Saccharomyces cerevisiae S288C: one gene and its partner. The gene in region 2 interacts genetically with the main gene of each other region. Each region holds a gene or a part of one and is shown on either strand. Other genes may lie near its edges.

What was found.
Region 1: mutations in TMA10 (region 2) and SAM2 together harm fitness more than expected from each alone (negative genetic interaction), as found in Saccharomyces cerevisiae (one large-scale study listed by BioGRID).

Annotation. Positions count from the first base shown.
Region 1 is NC_001136.10:1,452,532-1,456,186, reverse strand, and holds SAM2 (methionine adenosyltransferase SAM2), read left to right. Parts: upstream 1-1,722; coding exon 1,723-2,877; downstream 2,878-3,655. Other genes in the region: phosphatidate phosphatase LPP1, read left to right, coding at 321-1,145; PLM2 (Plm2p), read right to left, coding at 3,269-3,655. UniProt on the Saccharomyces cerevisiae protein: Catalyzes the formation of S-adenosylmethionine from methionine and ATP. The reaction comprises two steps that are both catalyzed by the same enzyme: formation of S-adenosylmethionine (AdoMet) and triphosphate, and subsequent hydrolysis of the triphosphate.
Region 2 is NC_001144.5:782,337-785,395, forward strand, and holds TMA10 (Tma10p), read right to left. Parts: upstream 1,052-3,059; coding exon 791-1,051; downstream 1-790. Other genes in the region: YLR326W (uncharacterized protein), read left to right, coding at 1-560; nicotinamide-nucleotide adenylyltransferase NMA1, read left to right, coding at 2,577-3,059. UniProt on the Saccharomyces cerevisiae protein: May be involved in inhibition of the reverse ATPase reaction of mitochondrial F(1)F(0)-type ATP synthase.

The DNA of each region.
Region 1 (3,655 bases), on a different chromosome or scaffold from region 2:
TATTTTTCATAGGCTTTATATAAAAAACAAAAAATAATGGAATCAACCAACCCTTATAAACTTATATGTAGTTTACATTTAATCAAGGTCTGTTATCGTGGCTATTGCTCTAATTCATTATTTGTCGACATGTATTGGTTGATAATTTTTGTTTTGGTTCACGCGTAAGAATTTTTTTTCTTGTAGTTGCCACGTGAAACCTGACAACTTATAGTCTTTAAGGGAAGAAAGAAAGCCATTCTTTGAAGTGATTTTACTGCTTTCAAGAGTGAGAAACTCCTACATCAACGCCTAAGGAAACTCGTCATATTCTACCAAGGATGATCTCTGTCATGGCGGATGAGAAACATAAGGAGTATTTTAAGCTATACTACTTTCAGTACATGATAATTGGTCTATGTACGATATTATTCCTCTATTCGGAGATATCCCTGGTACCTAGGGGCCAAAACATCGAATTTAGTCTTGATGACCCCAGTATATCAAAACGTTATGTACCTAACGAACTCGTGGGCCCACTAGAATGTTTGATTTTGAGTGTTGGACTGAGTAACATGGTCGTCTTCTGGACCTGCATGTTTGACAAGGACTTACTGAAGAAGAATAGAGTAAAGAGACTAAGAGAGAGGCCGGACGGAATCTCGAACGATTTTCACTTCATGCATACTAGCATTCTATGTCTGATGCTGATTATAAGCATAAATGCTGCCCTAACAGGCGCCTTAAAGTTGATTATAGGAAACTTGAGGCCTGACTTTGTTGATAGATGTATACCTGACCTCCAAAAGATGAGTGATTCAGATTCTTTGGTTTTTGGCTTGGACATTTGCAAGCAGACTAACAAATGGATTCTATACGAAGGCTTAAAAAGCACTCCAAGCGGACATTCAAGTTTCATAGTCAGTACCATGGGCTTTACATATCTTTGGCAAAGGGTTTTCACCACACGCAATACAAGAAGTTGCATTTGGTGCCCTTTATTAGCTCTAGTAGTAATGGTTTCAAGGGTTATCGATCACAGACATCATTGGTACGATGTTGTCTCTGGAGCTGTTCTAGCATTTTTAGTCATTTATTGTTGCTGGAAATGGACATTTACAAACTTGGCGAAAAGAGACATACTTCCTTCACCGGTTAGTGTTTAGTAACACTTACAGAGTCCTATCAGGAAAGAATAAAAGCCGATCAAGCTTCATTCTCAGGTAACAACTGGAGCACTGGCGAGCTTTGCTCTATTATATAAGATAAAATATGCACTAAAAGTTTGCATTTCTTTACATAACTAAAACTAAGACATTATGCATAGCTTACCTGATCAAAAAGTATGTAAACTTGTTAACATCTTCACATGTGATTCATCTGGTCGTACTTTCTTGCGGTGCAGTGTAATATTTCTACCCACGTGACTATAATTGAGCTTGAAAACTGTGGCGTTTTTCCACCGATGGGTCCACGCCAGATATTAACCGAAGCCAAAATACCGATGAAATTTCTGAGATAGCTCTTGTAAACGACGTCAAATCTTCATATGCAAGGAGATCTTGATTTCTTTTTGGTAGTCATCTGTCGTCTTGAGGCGTATAAGAAGGAGGTTATATCTGTCCTTTCTACAAAGTATTTTCGAGAATCTTGCTTCTGCCCCTTTTTTCTTTTTTTAAAAGGTTTAAAAAACATAACTGTCTTCAATATATCCAGTATTTACGACAATATACAAACATAATCATGTCCAAGAGCAAAACTTTCTTATTTACCTCTGAATCCGTCGGTGAAGGTCACCCAGACAAGATTTGTGACCAAGTTTCTGATGCTATTTTGGACGCTTGTTTAGAACAAGATCCATTCTCCAAGGTTGCCTGTGAAACAGCTGCCAAAACTGGTATGATTATGGTTTTCGGTGAAATTACCACCAAAGCTAGACTTGACTACCAACAAATAGTAAGAGATACCATCAAGAAGATTGGTTATGACGATTCTGCCAAGGGTTTCGACTACAAGACATGTAATGTTTTAGTAGCTATCGAACAACAATCTCCAGATATCGCTCAAGGTCTGCACTATGAAAAGAGCTTAGAAGACTTAGGTGCTGGTGACCAAGGTATAATGTTTGGTTACGCTACAGACGAAACTCCAGAAGGGTTACCATTGACCATTCTTTTGGCTCACAAATTGAACATGGCTATGGCAGATGCTAGAAGAGATGGTTCTCTCCCATGGTTGAGACCAGACACAAAGACTCAAGTCACTGTCGAATACGAAGACGACAATGGTAGATGGGTTCCAAAGAGGATAGATACCGTTGTTATTTCTGCTCAACATGCTGATGAAATTTCCACCGCTGACTTGAGAACTCAACTTCAAAAAGATATTGTTGAAAAGGTCATACCAAAGGATATGTTAGACGAAAATACCAAATATTTCATCCAACCATCCGGTAGATTCGTCATCGGTGGTCCTCAAGGTGACGCTGGTTTGACCGGTAGAAAGATTATTGTCGACGCTTACGGTGGTGCCTCATCCGTCGGTGGTGGTGCCTTCTCCGGTAAGGACTATTCCAAGGTCGATCGTTCCGCTGCTTACGCTGCTAGATGGGTTGCCAAGTCTCTAGTTGCCGCTGGTTTGTGTAAGAGAGTCCAAGTCCAATTTTCATATGCTATTGGTATTGCTGAACCATTGTCTTTACATGTGGACACCTATGGTACAGCTACAAAATCAGATGACGAAATCATTGAAATTATTAAGAAGAACTTCGACTTGAGACCAGGTGTGTTAGTAAAGGAATTAGATTTGGCTAGACCAATTTACTTACCAACCGCTTCTTATGGTCACTTCACTAATCAAGAGTACTCATGGGAAAAACCAAAGAAATTGGAATTTTAAACATTTAGACAATAAATGTTTTATTTTGATTTTTATAATTATTTCAATCCCTTTCTTTATGCTAGGCTGGTCCCGATCACCTCCCTATATTGAGAAGACGATGCCTTATCGTTTGATTCGCTCAACTCGAGTCATGTAATTACTAGAAAATGATACAATAGAAAAGTTTTAAACATTCTTAAACTTGACAAACACCAATAGAATAACATCTAGGCATAATGATCTATTTTGTATGGATTATGTATTAGCTCCTTCAACGGAAATATATAGAAAATATTACTTTATGTTTTTAGAACTTTTTGACGAGTTTTACCAGTTTTTTTCATGATGCTCCACGTGGTAATATGACTATGCTATGGAAATAAGGTTGAAATATAGAATGTCTTTGAGGTTATTTGGTCGGCCTCTTCCAGAAATACTGTTTATGTTTCTTCCTGCACGACCTTAATCGGCTCCTGCCTTTTAACGAATTATACAAAATCTTTCTCTCGTCGCTATCATCGTTTTCAACATCATAGTAATACTCGTCTTCTAATGGCTTGCCAGACGCATCTTTTCCTTCACGCACAATAATACCAATGCAAGAAATAGTCTCCAAGACCTTTTTTAGTTCATCTTTGCTTAATTGTGAAGTGTTGGAATTGATGTTTTGCAATTGGGATAAAGGCGTTTGTTGAAGGTTAGAAAATGCAAGATGATTACATAGCACATGAACTAGGTCATCAAACCGAATTCCTCTTTCTGAGAGCGACCGAGAAATTTCGGGAATAATATTCAA
Region 2 (3,059 bases):
CTAAGGATGAAAGTAAAGCGTGGAAAAAGGTCCAAAACAAAGCCTGGCTGCATGACAAATCACTGTGCGGATGCTGTTGCTGGACAAACACTATAGGATGGGCACCATTACTTGCACTTCTACCGGTTATAGGACCCTTATTGATGTATTGGGTGCATGATAAGTTGATTGAATTGGCAGATGACAGGTATAAATTGCCTGCGGAAATCAAGGTGAAGATGCATGGTAATATCGTTATCGATTTACTTATTAGTTTAGTTCCTATTCTGGGAAGTGTTTTTGCATGGTTGCACGCATGTTCCACGAGAAACGCAGCTATAGTTTACAATTTTGTTGGAAAAAGGGCATTGGAAAGAAAGCAAGCGGAGCTCATGCATCAAAAAGAAGAAAATGAGAAACATTCCAATGCCAATACTGCACCTCCAGTAGTTGGTGGCAACAAAAATGTGAATGGAAACAGAAATAATAGTAAAATGTATAACAGACCGCCTGTGACAGCTCCACCTGCACCAGCATACACGCGCAGTACTAACGGTCGCCCCCAAAGAGGTTACAGGTGAACAAACCGGCCACGGTAAGGCTACATTCTTATCAACAAATATGGGCAATCAAAAACTTATAATGTAAATTTTATTTTTTATCGTAAACATGTATTTAAGAAGTAATATAAAGGATGTTTGACATGATCATTTTATATATGCATACACGTTATTGAAGTTATATGGTCGTTAAATCATTAAAAGGCCCGTTTCTTTGAAATATGCTAACGGAATCAAACCGGTCGGGTCGGTTAGATGTGGTATTGTTGCAAATCAGAAAGCCTTCTTTCATTGTTTTGGGAGTTAGAGCCCCTTCTGGTCTTGTTGAAGACTGTCTTAATTTCGCCAGAATCGATTAAGTCATTAATCTCATCGCCAGGCTTGCCCCAATTGCCTTTCCCATAGCCTCCTCTCTTGACGTGGTTGGGAGACTCCCCAAAGTTGCCGTTATGGGTGAAATACTTTGGGTTAGACTTTGCTTCGTGGACTGTCCATTTGCTAGTTCTGGTCATGTTTGAATTGTGTTTGTGTTAGAAATTTGTGTGCTTTAATGTTATGTTATAATGAAATCTTATTAGATTTATTTAACGTTTTTGCTGTGCTTATAATAAACATTACATAATAAAAGGAGTAGAAGAAAGTGGTAGAGAGGAGTACAAATCTACCTGCCAGAACTCTCTCCTTATATATATTTCCAGTGGTGTCTGGATTACCTACCTCAAGCCATACCATATCCATACCATATCCATAAACGCCTACAAAATTTCTACCCCAATCCAGCAGCTTCTATCACTATCTCGTATACCACCATAGGCACCACCACTGTTTGTGTAAATTTACTCCTGAGGGGGGGGTGGCTCAACACGGTGTAGGCCTTCTTCCCGCACAATCCGATGAAACCCCACAATCGCCTCCGTCTCTTCCACTGTGCACGGCGCTAGCTCAACATCTTCCCCGCCACATTTACTGTGGCAAAGAAGGTGCATAATCTAAAAAAACATACGTATGAGAATGGAAAGGGCAAGATAATATCGGACCGTAGTGAGTCACTTGCTTTTGGTATTGCAACCAACTGCCGCCCCTCTTCCCGCTCTTGCACCAAAACGCTAAATGCCCATTGTGATGGCTCATCCACCCTCACGACGAAGTAAGACCCGGGGCACAAGAAAATACGAGATCATAACAGTTCGAGTCCGTTTATTGTGTGCGGTTTTGGTACGCTTTTTCGTGAGGTGTACTACCATTCATGAGAGTCGTTTTAGGAGCTGTCATGAAAGATATGTATCTTGTTGATGAACTGTAAAAATTTGCAGAAATTGCGCTATTCCGTTTATTTCATTGTCGATTCGGTGTTAATATTAGGGGTACAAAATATACTAGAAGTTCTCCCTCGAGGATATAGGAATGCGCAAATGGGCATTTGATGTGACACAAAATTTGGACAATATAACGATTCATTTTTAGATCGTTGTTCAACCGTCCCAGTGGCCGAGTGGTTAAGGCGATGCCTGCTATTTCCTCAGAAAAGCAATTAGGCATTGGGTTTTACCTGCGCAGGTTCGAATCCTGTCTGTGACGCTTTTTTTAATTTCTTTACTCCATGACAAAAGCGGATAAAAATTCCCGCATTCGGCGTAAAAAAATCCGGTTTTTTTTTTAGCACTCGCTGTTTTTGCCTCTACCGGGTGAAAAATGACGATGAAGACGGCTGGAATTGCGCTGCATCCGCTTACGTAGGATAGAACACCTACAAAGATTTACGAACTTTATTGCTCGAAGATTCGCTATCCATATCTTTTTAGTTTCCCCCCATTTCACAATGGGATACCGTTGTTTTTTCTGTAGGTACGCTTTCTCATAGTTAATAGAGTCAGTAATTCATTTCATTTTTTGCAGAAAGGAATTTCTTCACCTAATTTAGAATTTCATCAACATTTATTGTATCTGCATGGTATAACAAATTAGAAAAATTTGGAAGGGAAAAAAAAACTGTTGCGTCAATTACTTATACCAGGGATAGAAAAAAAAAAAGGAAACATGGATCCCACAAGAGCTCCGGATTTCAAACCGCCATCTGCAGACGAGGAATTGATTCCTCCACCCGACCCGGAATCTAAAATTCCCAAATCTATTCCAATTATTCCATACGTCTTAGCCGATGCGAATTCCTCTATAGATGCACCTTTTAATATTAAGAGGAAGAAAAAGCATCCTAAGCATCATCATCACCATCATCACAGTCGTAAAGAAGGCAATGATAAAAAACATCAGCATATTCCATTGAACCAAGACGACTTTCAACCACTTTCCGCAGAAGTGTCTTCCGAAGATGATGACGCGGATTTTAGATCCAAGGAGAGATACGGTTCAGATTCAACCACAGAATCAGAAACTAGAGGTGTTCAGAAATATCAGATTGCTGATTTAGAAGAAGTTCCACATGGAATCGTTCGTCAAGCAAGAACCTTGGAAGACTACGAATTCCCCTCACACAGATTATCGAAAAAATTACTGGATCCA